Linked DNA regions of Xenopus tropicalis. The protein of the gene in region 1 purifies or fractionates together with the protein of each later gene. This does not show direct contact. Links are inferred from orthologs where the notes say so. Each region holds a gene or a part of one and is shown in the gene's direction. Other genes may lie near its edges.

Evidence for each region.
Region 2: the proteins of pold3 (region 1) and sprtn purify together in Homo sapiens (affinity purification with mass spectrometry; 3 studies listed by BioGRID, with this or other methods). This does not show direct contact. The link is inferred for Xenopus tropicalis from reciprocal best matches to the Homo sapiens genes POLD3 and SPRTN.

Annotation. Positions count from the first base shown.
Region 1 is NC_030678.2:175,001,090-175,005,599, forward strand, and holds part of pold3 (DNA polymerase delta subunit 3), read left to right. Parts: intron 1-113; coding exon 114-169; intron 170-1,146; coding exon 1,147-1,249; intron 1,250-2,185; coding exon 2,186-2,225; intron 2,226-2,410; coding exon 2,411-2,543; intron 2,544-3,126; coding exon 3,127-3,349; coding exon of another isoform or gene 3,350-3,379; intron 3,380-4,510. UniProt on the Homo sapiens protein: Accessory component of both the DNA polymerase delta complex and the DNA polymerase zeta complex.
Region 2 is NC_030681.2:57,897,944-57,903,172, reverse strand, and holds the start of sprtn (sprT-like domain-containing protein Spartan), read left to right. Parts: upstream 1-2,010; 5' UTR 2,011-2,020; coding exon 2,021-2,163; intron 2,164-4,709; coding exon 4,710-4,809; intron 4,810-5,229. UniProt on the Homo sapiens protein: DNA-dependent metalloendopeptidase that mediates the proteolytic cleavage of covalent DNA-protein cross-links (DPCs) during DNA synthesis, thereby playing a key role in maintaining genomic integrity.

The DNA of each region.
Region 1 (4,510 bases):
CAATGGGCTGCCGGTATTTCAGCCTCATTATCCCTCTAGCCCCGCCCATCTGTATCGCTATGTATCATACTGACTTGCCCCGACTGACGCCATTCTCTCTGCTTGCGTTACAGGTGACGTACAAATGGCTGAGCCACACGCTGGGCGTCCATGTTAACCTGGCGAAACAGTGAGTACTGCCCCCCCCCCCTTGCTTCCCATTGGGGCCTCACTGCGAATATCCCCCCATTTACAAAAATGCATACATATTTTTTTATATTTCATTTTGAAATGTCCCATGGGGCTAGCCATATTCTTCATTTCCCAGGGTGCCACAGCCATGTGACCTGTGCTCTGATAAACTTCACTCACACTTTACTGCTGCGCTGCAAGTTGGAGTGATATCCCCCCCCCCTCACCCCCAGCAGCCGATCAGCAGAACAATGGGAAGGGAGCAAGATAGCAGCTCCCAGTAGGTATCAGAATAGCACTCAATAGTAAGAAATCCAAGTCCGGCTTGGGACTCCTCCAGTTACATGGGAGTAGGAGAAACAATAGGTTAGCTGAAAGCAGTTCTAATGTGTAGCGCTGGCTGAAAGCTCAGACTCAGGCACACTTTACTGCTGCGCTGCAAGTTGGAGTGATATCCCCCCCCCCTCACCCCCAGCAGCCGATCAGCAGAACAATGGGAAGGGAGCAAGATAGCAGCTCCCAGTAGGTATCAGAATAGCACTCAATAGTAAGAAATCCAAGTCCGGCTTGGGACTCCTCCAGTTACATGGGAGTAGGAGAAACAATAGGTTAGCTGAAAGCAGTTCTAATGTGTAGCGCTGGCTGAAAGCTCAGACTCAGGCACACTTTACTGCTGCGCTGCAAGTTGGAATGATATCCCCCCCCTCACCCCCAGCAGCCGATCAGCAGAACAATGGGAAGGGAGCAAGATAGCAGCTCCCAGTAGGTATCAGAATAGCACTCAATAGTAAGAAATCCAAGTCTGGCTTGGGACTCCTCCAGTTACATGGGAGTAGGAGAAACAATATGTTACAATATGTATATTGGGGGGGGGGGGGTTTAAGGGGGTAACAACCCCCTGCATTATCATATCCTGCATATATCTCTGTGCTGAGCCCCTGGGGGTGTCTCTCTCACGTACCTGTGCCCCCGCAGGATGCTGTACGACTACGTGACAAGGAAGCGGAAGGAAAATGGCAACGCACAGGTGCACGTTACTTACCTGGTGACCGGGAAATGTCTGCAGGACGGTTACCCTGTGAGTATGGGCAGCGCGTGTAATGGGCGGGTATTGGCCACTCCCCCTCTCACTGGCACAGAGATCTTTGGGGTTCAAGCCCTACTTTTCTATCTGCTTTTGGGTCAGGAGACCGTGATTATGTGGAAGTGTTCTCATTGGGCCGCAGGTATTGGAATATTTTTCTTCCAAATTTTTGCAGCTTTCAAATGGGGGTCACTGACCCCGGCAGCCAAACCCTATTGCTCTGTGAGGCTCCAGTTTTATTGTTATTGTTACTTTTTATTCCTTATCTTTCTATTCAGCCCCTCCCCTATTCATATACCAGTCTCTCATTCAAACCACTTCCTGGTTGCTAAGGTAATTCGGACCCTAGCAACCAGATAGCTGCTGAAACTCCAAACTGGAGAGCTGCTGAATTAAATTGAAATAACTACACGTAATAAAAAATGTAGACCAATTGCAAATCGTCTTAGGATATTACTCTCTACATCCTACTAACAGTTAATGCAGGTGAAAAACCCCTTTAAAATTGTGACTTTTCATCACTTGAACACGTGAGCTGACAATCTGTCTCCGCTCTCTGCGCATTAACCCCTTTGTGACCTAATTTGGATTTGTTTTGGGATTTGGCCAAATCTTTCAGGCAGGATTTGGTGTTTGGGCAAATTCCCACATAGTGGATTCAGTTCAGGGCGCAGTGTCCTAGTTACCCAGTCCCTAGTGGGCAGTTTTGTTCACTCCCCGCCCCTGTAAGTGACCAATGGCCAAGTCTGGGCCCCGACACAACAAAAAGTCTACGTAGAACATATATCCCACAGCGCCTGGAGAGCCGGACTGATCGGGAACGTTCAATAAATCTAGGCCAAGTGTGTCATTTCCTGTTCCAGTGCTGTTATTCGCTGTCGCTGGTGCATTGTGGGATTGCGGCTAACGCTCTGCCTTTTCCTCTTTCAGTTTCACAAAGTGGCCGTAGTGAAGGAGGAGAAGCTTGCAGGTAAGTGGGTATCAGTTTCAGCCTCGGGCCTACAGCTAAACCCCACTTGTTAGGCCGGGGCTGGCAGTCGGGTCATAATGGGGCCTGTGCAGTCCTACAGGATGTTACCCCCCCCCCATAAGGGCAGCCAAACTGATCCCAAAGTTCAGCCTAAATCCTTATTGTTTTTTCTCTCTGTCCCACAGCCACTAAGTCTAAGCTTGCGGAGGTTGCCAGCGTCCATGTGTATAGCATCCAGAAAGCGGCTCTGAAGGACTGCGCTCCCCTCTTCAACACTGACTATGATATCATCAAGAACAACCTGCACAACTGCAACAAGTACGTGTGTCCTCTCCCCGGGGCTACAGATACATAGAAACATTGGGGTAACTCACCCTGCTATAGTTCCAGGGGTACCCAGGGCACAAATAAGCACTCACCCCAAATCCCCCCCTAACTGGCCTTCAGGCTGGGCCCCCTTAGCCCATAACAAGGTTACAGATATATAGAAACATTGGGGTAACAGTCACCCCGCTATAGTTCCAGGGGTACCCAGGGCACAAATAAGCACTCACCCCAAATCCCCCCCTAACTGGCCTTCAGGCTGGGCCCCCTTAGCCCATAACAAGGTTACAGATATATAGAAACATTGGGGTAACAGTCACCCCGCTATAGTTCCAGGGGTACCCAGGGCACAAATAAGCACTCACCCCAAATCCCCCCCTAACTGGCCTTCAGGCTGGGCCCCCTTAGCCCATAACAAGGTTACAGATATATAGAAACATTGGGGTAACAGTCACCCTGCTATAGTTCCAGGGGTACCCATGAATGCTTAGGGGTACAGGGGTGTATCTGCCCCTGGGGGGGGTATATACAGACAGGTATACAGTCGGTTTCCCATTGAATCCCTATGTGCCTGTAGGTTTAGTGCCATTCAGTGCCCAGAGGCCGTGCCCAGGTCCCCAGAGGAAATCTCCCAGCTCCTAAAAGCAAACGCCCAACCAACCGGAGAAGCAAATGTTACAGCGAAACCTGCAATCAACGGGCACATTGCTGCCCCCGCCCCAAAGCCCACATCCAAGCAGCCTAAAGGCATTATGGGAATGTTTTCCCAACAAGCTGTCAAACAGCAGGAAACGCAGAAGGAAAGCAAAGCCGATGCCAAGGAACCAGCAGTAAGTTCTCTCTGATATGTCTGTGCTGCTTGTGCTCTCAATCTTCTATGTGCAATTGCCTGTGTACTTATACTGCTAGGGGTGCTAGCACCCATAACTTACTTATGCCCTGAGCTATCAGGGTGTGCAGCCAATAGAAACAATTGGATCTGGTATTTGGGGGGAGAAGATGCTGCACTGTGGGGTTATTGCATTTAAAATATTCACTATCATACTGCATAAAGGGCAAATAAACCCGTTTGTTCCAGCAATATTTGGATCAGATAGGATCCTTGGTATCCAGGCAGACTTAATTCAAATGTCAATGTCGCCAAGCAACCTAAGGCACAAAATTTATTGATCATATTATTTTGTTGCTGCTCTGAAATCTGAATATTCCAATAATAGTTCTTTTCAGAATCTTTTGGAATCAATAAAGGTACAGCAGCTGCAGTTCCCAAAATGGACAGCAGGGGTCATCCAAACCGCACTATATTGCATAGACTGGCACTATACCGGTAGTTACTCATTGAGCAATAATAAGGTTATTTAGATATAAAATAGCGCAACAGTACAAGACGGGGCCCCCATGCATATAACATAGAGCATTAAGCTAGAGCCTTGAGTTTTAGTTCTACTTTAAAGGGGATACAAACCCTGCTGCCCAGCGCGGCTCAACCCAACGTTACTCAGTTGTTACTGGGCTACAAATCCCACAATAATGTAACATATAATGAAGCTTGGGGCATGCTGGGAGCTGTAGTCCAGCAACATCAGGGCTGTATTCTTAAAGCAATATTGCCCAATAAAACTTTCCCCCAAATCCCCACAGCCAGCGACTGCTTTAACATGCGAAAAATCCTCCAATGAGAATCCCAGCTGATGTGAGTAAATCCGGCTCCCTGTTCTCTGTTCCTGCAATTGGAGTTGGGAGCAATAAGCACAGTTTCCCAGCACTGAACAAGTCTGTCCCTTTATCCCCATGTCTGATTCCTGTGCCATATAATGAGGGGAGAAAATGCCATCATTATCTCTATATGTAAGGTACCAGCAAGGGGCCTGACACAGTGCTGGGAATCAGCATTCTCACTGGGCAGTTCTTTTGCATTTATAATCAACTTATTTATCAGTACAATTCTCATTGGGGAATTT
Region 2 (5,229 bases), on another chromosome or scaffold:
CAGGTCAGGCGCTTCTGCCGCTGTTTCTGGTTCAAAAGTGGCTTGACCTGGGGAATGCGGCACCTGTAGCCCATTTCCTGCACGCGCCTGTACACGGTGGCTCTGGATGTTTCTACTCCAGACTCAGTCCACTGCTTCCGCAGGTCCCCCAAGGGCTGGAATCGGTCCTTCTCCACAATCTTCCTCAGTGCCCAGTCACCTCTTCTCGTTGTGCAGCGTTTTCTGCCACACTTTTTCCTTCCCACAGACTTCCCACTGAGGTGCCTTGATACAGCACTCTGGGAACAGCCTATTTGTTCAGAAATTTCTTTTTGTGTCTTACCCTCTTGCTTGAGGGTGTCAATGATGGCCTTCTGGACAGCAGTCAGGTCGGCAGTCTTACCCATGATTGCGGTTTTGAGTAATGAACCAGGCTGGGAGTTTTTAAAAGCCTCAGGAATCTTTTGCAGGTTTTTAGAGTTAATTTGTTGATTCAGATGATTAGGTTAATAGCTCATTTAGAGAACCTTTTCATGATATGCTAATTTTTTGAGATAGGAATTTTGGGTTTTCATGAGCTGTATGCCACAATCATCAATATTAAAACAAGAAAAGGCTTGAACTACTTCAGTTGTGTGTAATGAATCTAAAATATATGAAAGTCTAATGTTTATCAGTACATTACAGAAAATAATGAACTTTATCACAATATGCTAATTTTTTGAAAAGGACCTGTATGTTTTCACCCTAAATGAGAAATAAGCTCTTGCTGGCTGCTCTCCTGACCCAATGGTAAGGGAGATCAGCCAGCAATCAAGATCAAACCCCATCAGAGCCTTAAGGTCCCCATATACGGCCAATCTGGCCACATCGCCAAGCGAGCTGATCTTCTCCCGATATCCCCACCTACGGGTGGGCAATATCGTCAGAATCCAGGAGATTTCAGGCCAGATATTGGTCGGGCAGGCCTGTCAGCAGTGCCCATACACGGGCCGATTAGCTGCCGAATCGGTCTAAGGGACCGATATCGGCAGCTAGTATCGGCCCGTGTATGGGGACCTTTACATGGCCCTTGTTCTGTCACTAAAATGCACAAAAACCCCCACTGAGACCCTCTGAAAAAACTCAAGAGTACCCTTGGTTGGTTTCACCTATTGTTTTCTCTTAAAATAGCCATTTCTTATCCCTAAATTGTGAAAAATCAGGTCTTTGATTTCACATAAATTAAAAAAAAAAAGATTTGGTTCAATTTCACCCATTGTCTTCTCCTGAATTCAGAAAATCTGGCCCTTTTTTGTACAAAATACTGTGGCACCTGTAGACTACAAAATACTAAAGAAGACTTAATGTGGTCTGGCTTTTTTTTTTGTTCAACCAAGAACAGGCATGGATTGGCAATGTGTGGATTCTGGCAAATAACAGATGGGCTGATGTAAGATGCCATAGCAACCATTATTTATTGGGCTGAAGGGGGGCTGTTTGGGCTCCTGTGTATTTGAAACGCCACAGCCTGTTTCTTTATCCCAGTATGGATCTGAAGAAGAGGCTCCATGTGGCAGGAATTGTTGGCACAAGTTGAACCTATAACTGTGAGCACTTATCTTCCCCTGCAAAAGTAGAAACTGAACAAAACACAAATGCCTTTTGATAAACTGTTGGGAGCAAAGACTCTGTTAGCAGCTCTTTGGCTATTGCCTGCACCATCAAAAAAAAAAAGTGGTACAAGTGTTCAAGACAGCAAATAAACAATGAATTATTAGTTCTAGACAAACTATGGCAGGGGTGGCTCTTTAGAGCAGAGACATTTTAAAATTGTTAATGAACGTCCGCAGAATGCCACGCACATCCATCGCCTCTTGGCAGCACCTACCCTTCTGCAACATCAACGTAACGAATCCTGTCACTCTCCAAAGCTCCTAACCGCAGCGTCACTGTTAGACGTCACAGTCTCGCGAGAAGAGACTTGTTCCGTTTGTTGCCGTTCAGCTGGAGCGAAGGAAGCTTTTGGTGCCGCCGGACTTTTCCGGGACTGTTGGGCGTCATGCAGTTGTCAGTGGTTGATCCAACTTGGGAACTTCTGGACCCAAACCCTGATATTCGTGCATTATTTCTGGAGTTCAATGACACTTTTTTCTGGGGACAGTTGTCTGGTATAGAAGTAAAGTGGAGCGCAAGGATGACGCTGTAAGTCAGTTTTATTTGTTTCCCACTTAAATTATTTATTTCTGAATCGATATGTATTTTCTTACTATCTTAGCTAATAGCAGCTGCTGTTATTGCACCACATAGCAAAGTAATTTTAGTTTTGCAGTTAGTTAGACAACCCTGGGCAGTATTTTACTGACCTGGCTGATAAATGTGATGCTTGCTGCCAATGGTATAAATATGGAAAGACCTATTTTTTCCAGAAAAGGTGGCAACCCTAGTGGCAACAGCATAGAGTTTACAATCTAAATGGTATTCTATATGGGGCACAGACCTACTTCCTCCCCAGTCTGTAGAGCTGGCCATATACTCACCGATGATATCGTATGAAACCTAGTTATGTACGATATTCAGTGCGTGAATGGCAGCTCCACGAGGTGACCCAAAAGGCTGCGGATATCGGTCGACTCAGCGATCGGCCAAGTTAAAAGATTTTGTTTGGACGCCATTAAACGCACCCGAGCAAAATCTACGTTCAAGCCTGAATCGGCAGAAGGAGGTTGAATTTCTATTGATTCTACCTCCATATCTGACGATTCAGATTTGAATCGCCAGATATGGTTGCTACGTGTATTGCCACCCTTAGTAGATGGCACTTAATCCTTGAAACATTTATTGCAGTGTCTACCCTCTCTGTGTTTTTACTGTATTGTAAAAAAATATGCTGCTTCGTGCACTAGTAAGGCTGTAGGTCTTGTATCATGTATTATTGTATCATGAATGAATGCTAGGATGAATGAATGCATTCTTCTGTAGAAACATGTTTGTTTAAATTCAGAGAGATTGGGAGACTCTGGTTGAATGGATGGCAGTAGAATAAGTTCCAGGCAATGGTTATGGTAAAGTCATCAGTGATGGATGGGGGTGTCACAGTCTAGGGAATATGACATTCAAGTAGCAAAATTAGGGATGCACCAAATCCAGGTTTGATATTCAGCCCTTTCGGTTTGATATTCAGCCCTTTTTGGCAGGGTTCTGGCTGAACTGAATCCTAATTAGCAGAAATTAGAATATGCTATTTAGCACGTGGAAGGGTTAAATGTTAGGGGGAAAAATTTTCGCCGCTCATGTAGCGTGCCCTGTTTTTTAACCCTTACCTATCCTAATTAACGTATGCTAATTCAGATTTGGTTCGGTATTCGCCCGAATCTGTTGGGGTTGGTTCGGCTGAACTCAAAAAAGTGGGTTTGGTGCATCCCTAAGCAAAACTGACAAAAAAAATGTCAAGTGCAGCACCGTGCAGCAGTACATGAGGAAAGACCCAGATAAAGTGAACTTTAAAGGGGGAAACTGACTGTAGTACTTAATGTGGGGGGTAATATTCCCCACCCCTAACCCTGATGTGTAGCCCCCTCCATGTGATGGGGCAATTGCAGTGTTTTCCCCAGGTGGTTTTTGACAGTCATCACTTTTCATCTATTTTCTTTTTTTACTTGGCCGCCAAACTCTGCTTCCTTTCCCACCTCTCGTGCTATAGTATCAAAAAAACATTTTTTTATTAAACTTAGCATCATTTTTATTTGCCTGGACTGAAGCATGGCAGGGGGCATAATCATTAGGAAGAGGTGGGGCTGGCACAACATTTATTTCCCTCATTCTGCACCACTGTATTTTCTTCTGGGAACAAGTAAGGCAGACAAGTTTCCCTTATGGCAAGTTGAAGGAACATGCTGTTCGGTTTTCCAGGGTGCACAAAAAGGTACAGTGGCTTAAGGAACAAGGTTTTATTATGCAGATAGTTATATGGGTGGAAAACATGGCTGCGACAGAGCAGAGACTGGGTAAAGACCAGAACAGGGGAATGTTTCCAGCTGCCATTCATAAGAAGGAGAGGTAAAACCGGTTAGAGTGTAATTTTTAGATTCTCTGTGAATAAGAGGAGGTCAGCAGAATTTTGCATTTCAGTTGCAGTTAGTGATTTATTCACTCTTTGTCACTTTTGGGGGCATTTCCTGTGGGAAATGATTAGTTAAAGGAACAGTAACACCAAACAATGAAAATGTTTAAAAGTAATTAAAAAATAATGTACTGTTGCCCTGCACTGGTAAAAATTTTGTGTTTGCTTCAGAAACAGTACTACAGTTTATACAAACAAAGCTGCTGTATATCCATGGGGGGCAGCTGGAAAAAAAGCACAGGTTACATAGTAGATAAAATACCACTGTATTTCCCAGAGCTTATCTGTTAACTTCTATGTAACCTGTGCCTTTTCTCGTTTTTTTTGTCTGGCCCATGAGCACACAGCAGCGTTGTTTATATAAACTATACCATAGCCAGCAAAATATGTTTTTCCTTAGAGGGAAAGTGTGTGTTGTGTGTACAACTCCCCCCAAAAATGTGTGTGGGTTTGTGTTTTAGAGTGTGTATGACGCTAAACCTGGGTACAGTTAGTTATACAAATGTCTTTGCCCTTATTTTGTCATATCAACATCCAGAGTTTACACCACTTTTTACTCTGCATTTTGTTATAATATAAGCCTATTTGAGTATTTCAACATTATTTATATTTGTCTTTCTTGAAAAAGATGTGCTGGAGTCTGCAGTTATGAAGGGAGAGGCGGATTATGTTCTATTCGACTTAGTGAGCCCCTTTTGAAGTTAAGACCAAGGAAAGATCTAGTACAGGTAAGTTTAATATGGTGATGTTTTTACCCTTTTCACTTCCAACAGAAATACACACCTTTGGTATGTATATATTAAAAATGTTGTGCTCTTTTAATTTAGGGACATTTTCTAGGGGGGGACTTGTTGTTTTCTATATATTGTTTTTTCAGGGACAACCTACGCTTTTAAAATATGCAAAATTTTTGTGTAATTTCAATACTGGAACAACAAATAGGATAAATGCCTAAAAAATGGCAATCATATTTCCTTAAAGGAAAGGCTAATAAAGAGTTAATCCTGAATGGGAAAAATTCGGATTGGAAATGAAAATTTCTGAAGATCGCAAATATCCCGAAAATGCTTACGAAAAAATCGTATTAGTCACGATAATATCGTATTGGCGATCCGAAAGTCACGAAATTTTCGTACCAAACCATTGTA